3 linked regions of the Callithrix jacchus genome follow. The protein of the gene in region 3 interacts with the protein of the main gene of each other region in a biochemical or structural test. Links are inferred from orthologs where the notes say so. Each region holds a gene or a part of one and is shown on either strand. Other genes may lie near its edges. The genes, in order: FASLG, KHDRBS1 and FYN.

Evidence for each region.
Region 1: the proteins of FYN (region 3) and FASLG form a complex in vitro, tested with the Homo sapiens proteins (4 studies listed by BioGRID and IntAct, with this or other methods). The link is inferred for Callithrix jacchus from reciprocal best matches to the Homo sapiens genes FYN and FASLG.
Region 2: the proteins of FYN (region 3) and KHDRBS1 form a complex in vitro, tested with the Homo sapiens proteins (4 studies listed by BioGRID and IntAct, with this or other methods). The link is inferred for Callithrix jacchus from reciprocal best matches to the Homo sapiens genes FYN and KHDRBS1.

Annotation. Positions count from the first base shown.
Region 1 is NC_133519.1:30,108,546-30,112,672, forward strand, and holds the start of FASLG (tumor necrosis factor ligand superfamily member 6), read right to left. Parts: upstream 2,935-4,127; 5' UTR 2,834-2,934; coding exon 2,489-2,833; intron 1,939-2,488; coding exon 1,893-1,938; intron 1-1,892. UniProt on the Homo sapiens protein: Cytokine that binds to TNFRSF6/FAS, a receptor that transduces the apoptotic signal into cells. Involved in cytotoxic T-cell-mediated apoptosis, natural killer cell-mediated apoptosis and in T-cell development.
Region 2 is NC_133508.1:68,648,827-68,652,477, forward strand, and holds part of KHDRBS1 (KH domain-containing, RNA-binding, signal transduction-associated protein 1), read left to right. Parts: coding exon 1-103; intron 104-1,857; coding exon 1,858-2,059; intron 2,060-2,566; coding exon 2,567-2,634; intron 2,635-3,552; coding exon 3,553-3,611; intron 3,612-3,651. UniProt on the Homo sapiens protein: Recruited and tyrosine phosphorylated by several receptor systems, for example the T-cell, leptin and insulin receptors. Once phosphorylated, functions as an adapter protein in signal transduction cascades by binding to SH2 and SH3 domain-containing proteins.
Region 3 is NC_133505.1:117,948,429-117,952,079, forward strand, and holds part of FYN (tyrosine-protein kinase Fyn), read right to left. Parts: intron 1,849-3,651; coding exon 1,669-1,848; intron 103-1,668; coding exon 26-102; intron 1-25. UniProt on the Homo sapiens protein: Non-receptor tyrosine-protein kinase that plays a role in many biological processes including regulation of cell growth and survival, cell adhesion, integrin-mediated signaling, cytoskeletal remodeling, cell motility, immune response and axon guidance.

The sequences.
Region 1 (4,127 bases), on a different chromosome or scaffold from region 3:
ATATGACTAACCTAGTATGAGGCATTCAAGTTTCTTCTGAATTGTTTATTATAAATAGGCTCATAAGGAAGTAATGAATATCCTTATATGTAAATCTTCAGGCACAGGCACATCTCTGATTATTTTCTTAAGATAAATTCTTAGCTATGGGATTACAACGTAAACTATTAGTTCCAAGCTTTTGATTGTATATCCAAAGTGCTCTTCAGAGAAAGCTATAGCAATTTACATGTACACTGGCTGAAACAAATGTTTGAACAGGCTCTTTTCTCTCAAATCTTTGTCAATTTGTGCTTTTTTTTAATTTTTACCAATTTGATGAAAACTTGATATTTCCTATTTTTAATTTGCATTATATTAATTTGAATCTCTTTTCTTATTAGCCATGTGATAATTTACCAATTTCTGGTCCATCTAGAGAAGATAATTGCTTACCAGGCAGATAGACCTGACTCATCTGATCATTTGACTTTTAATCACTAAACTGACTCAAGAGTGGGTGAAATATGAATAATTAGGTACCTATCAGACCAGGCACATTCCACAGATTTTCAAAATGATCTTATTTAAGACATCCTCCAGAGGCTTTATTTTTTTAACAAATATTTCCACTCTGCTTGTGTACATGTGGAAGTTCTAACATATAAGGATTAGGACACAGACACAGGAGCCAGAGCATCCAACAGTGGCTCCTACAAGAACCTAACAATCTGGGATAGCAGACAGGCGACTGGGTTGCCTGCAGTAGCCACATCCAGAGAAATGGGAACTTGCTCCACTTCTTGGCCAGTGCTGCCTTCTGCTTGCTTCTGAGTTTCTAAGGATGAGATTTACCTATTCTCTTTGCAGAGGTATTCTGCTTTTCATCTATTTCTCATTCCATGGTCACTACAGTCAGGAGTTTCCCTACTTGATGAGGCACCAGTCCATGTGCTGGAAAGCCCTGTAGGTGACAAGGCATCAAGAGCCCGTGTTCCTTCCAGCCCCAGTTCCAGACCAGTGTTCTTGGGCGTGTTCACCTAATCTGTCTGGTATTTTGTTTCTCTTCCAAAAGACAGAATGACTGGACTAGATATATTCTAAGCTTCCTTCCAACTCTAAAAATTCAATGAATCGCATTGTAAATCTAAATCTGAAATTTCAGTGAACCTTAGACTAGTGAAGTGTGCCGTAAAATCTATCTGTACAGAGCTTGCAAAACTATGCCCTGACATTTCATGAGATCAGTGTTCAACATGTCATCTTCTTGTCCTAGCTCCCATACAAAGGGTTTTCCTTTGTGATCAAGGGTACCTCATGACCGTCTCTGTGGGTGAAGCTGAATGTCCTTTGAATGATGGCTGAAGTCTTCCCCTAAGCTACTCAGTGACTTCAAGAAAAACCATCCTATTGTGGGCAATTGATTATCCTCATTAAAAGCATACATCCTATAAAATAGTTTATAAATTAAGCTTCACTGTAATCTCTTTAGAGAGTTTAAAAGAGGAGAGGACGTTTCTGAGAAACATCTATCTCTGCCTTCACCTCGCCTTCTCTTCCCAGGAGTCAAAGCCACTGGCATGTGTGCCACAACCAAGATGCCTGTGGAATGCGACAGACCTTCCTCAGGGGGCAAAGGTCCAAGTTGTGTATGTGTGTCTCCAAAGTCAAGTGAAAGTGATTTTGAATTGTGTGCTGTGCTCAGCTATACTGATTGTGAGCAATTCAATTGACTTCACATTTTTAAAGCAGCTCGAGGAATCATATTGACCAGAAATTCAGAATCAGCCAGAACTCCTCTCATAGCATACATAAGCCAAAGTGTAGGACAGAATATAAGGCATTCCATTAACATAGTTCAGTGCTGAGGATCATCTTTGGGAACTCATTGTACCCACAAAAAAAGGACTCACCTATTTGCTTCTCCACAGACGATACTGCATGCCTCTGGCTGGCAGACTAGTAAAAGAGAAAGAGAAAAGATGTATAAAAAAAATAAAACTCTTTAAGCAAAAGAGGCAGAATTGTCAAATAAACCAAGCCCTGGAAAAAGAATCCAAATACCTCAGAACTTTTGTTAACTCAGGCTTTGTCCAAGCAATTTTGCCTCACTGTCCCCCAGTTTTGTGATTTGGAATCATATCAATATTTTAAGTACTTTCAAGATTCAGTTTGGTCATCTGAACAAATTTACTTCCAAGCAAAACTTAAAAGTTTGGTTTGTTTGTTACTCCTTGAATCACTAGGTATGAGGCAGGAAGTGGTTCAACAGACTGAGTTGACACATGAGGAAAAGAAAACTGTTGGGCTCTGATGCTTTACGAAACAAAAAATATTCCCCTCACTCATGTGAACCTCCATTTCTCTGCCTATAGAATAGAATAACTAGAACAACCCATTTCTAAGGAAAAAAAAAAGAACTGAAAAGCACTTGGCAAGCCAGGCAGTGGGCCCTGCACCCCCTTATGCCAGGTGCCTCCAGGGCACGGCAGTCCACCAGCAGGCTTACCTCTCGGAGTTCTGCCAGCTCCTTCTGAAGGTGGAAGAGCTGAAACATCCCCAGTCCCAATCCTACCAAGGCAACCAGAACCATGAAAAACATCACAAGGAGACACAGGCCTGTGCTGTGGGTCCCTCCCTTCTTCAGGGGTGGCAGTGGTAATGGAGGCAATGGTGGCGGTGGTGGAGGTGGTAGTGGCGGCGGTGGTGGCGGCGGCGGTGGTCTCCTTTGGCCAGGCCTTCTGGGCACAGAGGTTGGACAGGGAAGCACTGTGCCTGGAGGGGCCCAGGGAGAGCTGGCACTGCTGTCCACCCAGTAGATCTGGGGATATGGGTAATTGAAGGGCTGCTGCATGGCAGCCGGTGACTCCAGCCAGCCCCAGCAAATGGTCTTATTTCTTCCTAATCCTGTAGAGGCTGAGGCGTCAAGGACAGGACTCCTGTTGCTGACTGCTCAAGAGAAAGGAAGCTAGATCTCTCTTATAGAGTTTCCATAGCTAAGGGAAACACCTCTCTCTCATTCTGCTTCTCAGAGAAACGCCCACTCACTTTGCATCTGAAACTGAGAAGTCTCAAGAAGCTCAGAGCAAACCCCTTGGAAGTTTCCGCCCACAATTTTCTTATGAAGGCCTTTGAAGCCCTAGGTGCTGTCGCTGGGCTACCCAAAAAGGCTGGTAGGCTGTGCTCCCCTTCCTTGGGTCCTGCAGAGCAGGTCAGCACTGGGATGTAGCCCTGTTGGTGTCAACTTCTCCCAGCTACAGGAGAATGGCCAGTGGAGATATAATTTTATGAATTATAATCGTATGCATTTTTATAAATTATCATTATATAATTTTAAGAATTCTACAATACATACAACCAAAAAACTATTTTAAAATCCCAAAATAACTCTAACAAAAATTGTTCAGAATCATATTTTTAAATCCATAAATTTTACTGCAAATGGCTCTGAGGTGAAAGACCATGAAGTCATGGCCAAAGAAGTCACTCCCACATTTTACTTTTTGCAAAAGGAAAACATCTGTTGCCATCATCCCTTCCCCACACACAAGTATCATCTACCCTGACCAGCAAATCACCATAATTTACAGAGTAAAAACCTGCTACACCCACTTTAGAAATTAGCTCAGAGGCTGCAAACCAGTGGAACCCACAGAGCTGCTTTGTATTTCACATGTTTTTCTTTTCATTGGTTGCCCACTTTATTTATTTATTTATTTAAAGAGAGACAGAGTCTCACTCTGCCACCCAGCCTGGAGTGCAGTGGTGCTACCATAGTTCACTGCAGCCTCAAAATCCTGGGCTCAAGCAGTCCTCTTGCCTCGACTCCCAAGTATCTGGGATTATAGGCATAGGTCACTACACCTGACTAATTTATTCTATTTTTTTGTAGAGATGGGGACTTGCTATGGTGCCCAGGCTGGTCTCAGCCTCCTGACTTCTAGAGATCCTCCCGCTTCAGTCTCCCAAAGTGCTGGGATTACAGACATGAGCAACTGCACTCAGCCAGCCCAACTGACCACTTTAAATATTGATACTAAAAATATTATATATTTTTAAATACACATTAAAAAAATATTTCTATTCTCTTTTGAAACATCAGAATGTCGGACACCCTCAAGGCCATGGGTAGCAGCTACCCCTGAGAA
Region 2 (3,651 bases), on a different chromosome or scaffold from region 3:
TTCTAGAGCTGTCCTACTTAAATGGAGTACCTGAACCCTCTCGTGGACGTGGGGTGCCAGTGAGAGGCCGGGGAGCTGCACCTCCTCCACCACCTGTTCCCAGGTAAAAATAATGGAGACACCCAGAAATAGGGTATAAATTTGATTACTAGTATCATCTCTTTTGGTGGTGCTCTTATGTCTAGCATAGAAAGGGTCTCAGGATTTATATGTTGCATCAAGAATAGAATTCTCCAGCCAGGTGTGGTGGCTCATGCCTATAATCCCAGCACTTTGGGAGGCTGAGGTGGGTGGATCACCTGAGATCAGGAGTTCAAGACCAGCCTGGCCAATGTGGCAAAACCCTATCTTTACTAAAAATACAAAACTTAGCCCCATGTGTTGGCACACACCTATAATCCCAGCTTCTTGGGAGGCTGAAGCAGGAGAATTGCTTGGACCCAGGAGACGGAGGTTGCAGTGAGCTGAGATCATGCGGCTGCACTCCATCCTGGGTGACAAAGCAAGATTCCATTTCCATTTCCACAAAAAAAAAAAAAAAAAAAAAAAAAAAGAATTCTTGGCCAGGTTCGGTGGTTTCATACCTGTAATTCCAGCACTTTGGGAAGCTGAGGCAGGCAGATCACAAGATCAAGACATCGAGACCATCCTGGCCAACGTGGTGAAACCCTGTCTCCACTAAAAAAAAATATAAAAATTAGCTGGGCATGGTGGCTTGTGCCTCTAGTCCCAGCTACTCGGGAGGCTGAGGCAAGAGAATCACTTGAACCCGGGAGGCAGAGGTTGCAGTGAGCTGAGATCGCGCCACTGCACCCCAGCCTGGCGGCAGAGTAAGACTAAGTCTAAAAACATATATATATATATATATATATATATAAATTCTTGGTCTTGGGCACTTTGACCATAACCAAGTGCTATAGTCTAACTGAGACTTTTGGTTTTCTTTTTTTTTTTTGAGATGGAGTTTCGCTCTTGTTACCCAGGCTGGAGTACAATGGCGCGATCTCGGCTCGCCGCAACCTCCGCCTCCTGGGTTCAGGCAATTCTCCTGCCTCAGCCTCCCGAGTAGCTGGGATTACAGGCACACGCCACCATACCCAGCTAGTTTTTTGTATTTTTAGTAGAGATGGGGTTTCACCATGTTGACCAGGATGGTCTCGATCTCTTGACCTTGTGATCCACCCGCCTCAGCCTCCCAAAGTGCTGGGATTACAGGCTTGAGCCACCACACCCAACCGACTTTTGGTTTTCTAATTTTGGACAGGTCTAGCATTTTTTTGAGATGGAATTTTGCTCTTGGTGCCCAGGCTGGAGTGCAATGGTGTGATCTTGATTCACTGCAAACTCTGCCTCCCAGGTTTAAGCAATTCTCCTGCCTCAGCCTTCCAAGTAGCTGGGATCACAGGCATGTACCACCATGCCCGGCTAATTTTATATTTTTAGTAGAGATGGGATTTCTCCTTGTTGATCAGTCTGGTCTTGAACTCCTGACCTCAGTTGATCCACCCACCTTGGCTTCCCAAAGTTCTGGGATTACAGGTGTTAGCCACTGCGCCCAGCCAGTCCTAGTATTTTTTAGTGGTCTAACTTTAAAGTTCTACCTTTTGTGACTGACCTTTATGGAGTGTTCAGACTCTCCCGACCTACCTAAGGCAGTGCAGTGATGAATTGGTCCACTGTAGGACCCGGGGAGTCTTTGAGTATGGGTTCTTTGTCCTGTGCATTCCTCTGTGCTTTAATAATAGCCTAGTTAAGGCTTCATAAAATCTGCCTAACTCCAGAATTTGAAAACAAATCAGAACATAAAAGTGGTCTGTTTATGAAAAGCTCCATTTAAAGTAAACTTTCATTTTGTAGGGGCCGTGGTGTTGGACCACCTCGTGGGGCTTTGGTACGTGGTACACCAGTAAGGGGAGCCATTACCAGAGGTGCCACTGTGACTCGAGGCGTGCCACCCCCACCTACTGTGAGGGGTGCTCCAGCACCAAGAGCACGGACAGCGGGCATCCAGAGGATACCTTTGCCTCCACCTCCTGCACCAGAAACATATGAAGAATATGTAAGAAATTTGAACAGTGTGCCATTTTCCAATACCTAGAAGGTTGCCAAATGAAATCAAATGACAGGGCCTCAGTCCTTTATGTAGGTGTCATGGACTACTTGTAAGATTTGGAAGCTGACCTCTTCTCTTGCAGTGAATGTTGAACTATTAGAAGGCTTTTCCATTTTAGGCTTGATTTTCTGTAAGTCTGTAGATTAAACAGGAAATAAAATATACCTTAATGTAGTGTTTTATAACGAATTTCTTAACTACTAATACTGATAATACTAAAGCTTGATTTTTGTAATTTTTCCTACCCACACGTGTTCTGTGGCATATATTTGTTTGGGTTTTCTTTGTTTAGTAACCCTTTCTCTTTTAACTATTCTACAGTAGGCATTAACATTTTGGAGGGAAATGTCATGTCCTTTTTTAATCCAGAAGCCTACCTACTTTCATGAGATATAATTACTTTTCCTACTCTCTATGATTTTGATCTTTTATGTATTTATTTTTCTGTTTTAGGGATACGATGATACGTATGCAGAACAAAGTTACGAAGGCTATGAAGGCTATTACAGCCAGAGTCAAGGGTGAGTCAGGCAATATAAGCACTGGTTTTGTGTCCTAAGGTTGGAGAGAGGGAGTTGGAGGAACAGAGATTTAGACAGCACAACCCTAAGGAGCAGAATGGTTCACATTTTGAGGGTATCGCCTTTGTACTCCCCACCCAAACCCGACTGGTCTTGATCTTGAGCTCAAGCAATCCTGCCACTTTGGCCCTCTCTAATAGTTGGTATTACAGGCACATGCCACCATGCAAGGCTTTCCTCTGCTTTTGTCATCTTTGAAGCACACAGATGTGCTTCAAAATAAATTTGTATAACTCTAAACCTTAAATTATAATACAGAACCTGAGAGTAGCAGATGAAAAATTTCCGACCTGTGACATGGAAACAAGGAGAAATGCCTTTACATTATTTTGATTTATCATTTTAAAATATCAAAACCACATTGAAGTTACATAAAATTTGAATTCCATTACCATAACCTAGGTTCTTTTCTGTATTTCTCTTCCCTGCCCTTCTCCACTTCCGTATTTCTCTTTAAGACCATATTCTTGTGTGTCCATATATATAGCTTACCTGTGAATTGATTGAAAAGAGTCTCAATTCTGTGGTAGTAATAAAACAAGTTATTTTTTTCTTCTGGTGAGCCCTATGAATACATATATATGTATGCTATATTAAGAGGGTTAATTTAGAATTGTGCTTTTTCACTTTATATTCTGTGATATCCATTTTTCTTTGCTATAGATGTCATAATTATTTTATAAGTACGTATATACGTATTTTGGAAATATTTTGGCATCTAGGGATGGGTTAGAATGAGTATTTTCCTGTATAAATATACATAGTAAAATAACTGAAATATGAAAGTATTTGAGAAAAAGGTGAAACTAAAACATAGTTCCTCTGTAGCTTCCTAACATTCTTGTCTTTGGCTTTCAGGGACTCAGAATATTATGACTATGGACATGGGGAGGTTCAAGATTCTTATGAAGCTTATGGTATGTCTTTATTTCTGTGGTGGGGCAGAATGTACAAGTA
Region 3 (3,651 bases):
CATCAAGGTACCCCGCAGGGCCTACCTGTGCTGCCATGTCCACAAGATTTGGTAATTTCAGAGCTCTTCCTTCTCCATCTTTTAAGAAATCGAGTAGACTTCCTATGAACAAAACATAAAATCATTTCAATCTACTTTGAAAGATAATTCTCAACAGAGGACTGTATTTGGTTTTCTTAATTAAAAGTAATAAGGTCATCAAATGGAATAATGCCATCCATGGAAAAATAAGGTTTATATAAAAGAGCAGAGTAGAGAAAAGTATATGCATGGAGAAGCCACAGTTTTACCTTTTAAAAACAAACAGCATTCATTTCATTTCTAGGGATAACAACATATATTTGATAAAACTAGAAGAAATGGGAATCAATATCCCTTTAGGTCATAAAGAGGAACCTGTTAAGAACTGCACCTCTTCAATTCCATTCCTCAACCAGCCCTGCACAGAGAATTGATGTGGGGAAAATATAGGCCAGCTGAGTGGTCCAAAATTGAGGTCTTGGGACCAGCAGCTGTAACAGCACCAGGGAACTTTAAGACATGCAAATTCTCAGGTCCTATCCCAGATTGAGTAAATCAGAAACTATGAAGGTTGGGTCCAGAACCTTGTGTTTTAAGAAGCCCTACAGATGACTCTAATAACACAAGGTAAAGTTTGAGATTCACTGGCTTAGCTTATTTACAGATTTTGAATCAAGAAGAGACAATCTGAAGAATATGGGTGGGGCAGATAGTTCCCCTTAATTAGATCATAGCCAGCCAAGCCTTAAATCAGACATCTGAAAGAAAACATTGGAAGCTTCAGAGCCACTATTATAATACAGCCTAAGGAGGCTGAGAACTAACACCAAGGCAGGGATAATCATTTGCAGAAGCCAGAGGCTTATGATGGTCATCAGTGATACTTTATGCTTTAATCACAAAGTTATTTACAAAATAACCCTGGATACAAAGGACAAATAGTTTGCCAGAAAAAAAATTCCAATTATATTTTAAAAGAAAGTACATGGAAAAGAAAAATTACACTGGTATCCTCTGATGTACAATGTATTGCCTTTTAAGGCTGTTTCTTGTTTGTTTCATCTACTTTTCCAAAACAAAATGATCTTTGGCCTTATCCCCAACAATGTTGGTTTGATTAGAAAGACAGAGGGGTTGTGGGGGAGAGAATGTGAGAATAAATGTGGTCTCTGAAAGTGTGTAATTTCATCATCTGATGTTTAAGGAGAGAGTTGGAAAAAAATAAGATGTTGAAATGATGGAGACTAAACTTAGCTTAGAGACCAGTGTCTGATATTAACTGTTTAGTCTTGCAAAAAGGAAATGTAACAAAAGCTACTGTGTTCAAAATAACAGCAAACTATTATAACCCTCTGTACCACCCCAATATTAAAAATGAATGTTTTAATTAGGGAGAGGAGCTTGAATTTTTGATACACATAACATGCAAAAGGTACTCAGCATTTTTCAAGGATTTGGGGTGAGGCAAACTCAAGGTTAGCCTGTTTTAAAAATGTTTTCATTCATGAACACATAACTGGTGCTTCCTGATGGGAATACTTGACCCAGGCAGAAACTGGAAAAAAAGCAAGCAGGAAGCCTCTATTTCTCCCCGCAAACAACCCGTTAAGGCACTGTGAGCTAGAGACGGGAGAGGTGTTGCCCAACCTTTATTCATATACTCGGTGACGATATAGATTGGTTCCTCGGACACCACTGCATAGAGCTGGACCAGCTTGTCATGCTTCAGCTTCTTCATGATCTGTGCTTCCTCGAGGAATGATTCAGGGGACATTGTGCCTGGTTTAAGAGTCTTTATGGCTACTTTTGTGTTTCCATTCCAGGTACCTACAAACATCCCATAATAATGAAGTCAAACCAAAGATCCTCTTTTGATGGAAAGAAAAGTTTTTGACCAACAGCTATTTGCATAAAGTTAGATTTTAAGTTTAAAACACTTACTATAGTTTTTGTTGAACAAAGACGTTCAATTGCAAGGACTCTGTCAAGTATTTTAACAGAAAAAAATGTGTTTATTTGTGGCTATGGCTAAGATGGCTATATTAAGATGTATAATTCATTAATTTTTTAAAAATTTTGATATATACCAGTTTCTTTTTGGCTCGGTCATATGATTACACATTTATACCAAAAGCTCTGGACTGGTGTTCACAGTGATGAAAGTCCAGGGATTGGAACAGGCCTGGCTATCTAATAGCTTAGGGATACTCCCTTAGGGAGTACAGTGAGCAAGGAAGAAATTAGATTATTTAAGTTTATGGGGTGTGCCATTTAAAAATAGGGCAACACATGAGGATGTCTGAAAATCACCTCTAGACTTTTAACATTTACAATGGACGAGTTACGTGACTGAGTCCTTGCACAGGTGTGCCAAGCATGCTGACAAGCACTGGCAAGGAGCTCACAGTCCACTTGCCAATACTTCAACCAGGTAAGGCAAATTCCTCAGCTTTACTATGGCCAGCCACAAGAACAATGGTTTCTGTCAGGTAGGTAGACAGGGGAAATTAAAAGCAGCTAAGACAGAATAGAAATATTTATGCTTTGCATGTTAAAAAAACAATCTAGCAAATCTGAAGGCAAGGCCTGGTTTATGATTGTCATCAGTTACCTCATCTGTAAAATATAGGAATAGAAAATAGAATTGGATTATCTTTTCAGGGTCTCTTTCAGTCCCAGCATTAAAAAAAACAAAAATAAAAACCAAACCTAGGTTCTATGTATATCCCATTATTAGACCTATGAAGCTGAAGAATAACTTTATAAAGGGGAAAAATCTGCTAATTTAGATTATTTTCTATTTGAAAAAGAAGACTGGTTTAAATTAAGATTTTTATACTTAATGTAACTGACTTTTGGGAGGCTGAAGTGGGGGGATCACGAGGTCAAGAGATTGAGACCATCCTGGTCAACATGGTGAAACCCCGTCTCTACTAAAAATACAAAAAAATTAGCTGGGTGTGGTGGCGCATGCCTGTAACCCCAGCTACTCGGGAGGCTGAAGCAGGAGAATTGCCTGAACCCAGGAGGCGGAGGTTGCAGTGAGCTGAGATTGCGCCACTGCACTCCAGCCTGGGTAACAAGAGTGAAACTCTGTCTAAAAAAAAAAAAAAAAAAAGAATTCTGTAAATTGGAGGAGTTCTTATTATCCTGTTAAAGACATGGTTCATATAATTACAACATGTAACCTACAAAAATATAAATTATGGAAAACCAAGTGGCTTAAAGAAAAGTTCATTTAAACTTCATAAAATATCTGCCCACTAAGCATACATGGGAAATTTGACAATTTATAAGTGATCTTTGCTCTTTAAGAGTCAGCACCTGGGAGGCTGAGGCGAGTGGATCACGAGGTCAGGAGTTCAAGACCAGCCTGGCCAAGATGGTGAAACCTCGTCTCTACTAAAAATACAAAAATTAGCTGGGTGTGGTGGCGAGTGCCTGTAATCCCAGCTATTCAGGAGGCTGAGGTAGAAAACTGCTAGAACCCAGGAGGCAGAGGTTGCAGTGAGCCAAGATTATTGTACCACTGCACTCCAGAGCAGTGGTACAGAGCGAGACTCTGTCTCAAAAGAAAAAAAAAAAAAAAAAGAGCATAAAATTTCAAATACAGTGAGATCTTCCTCTGTA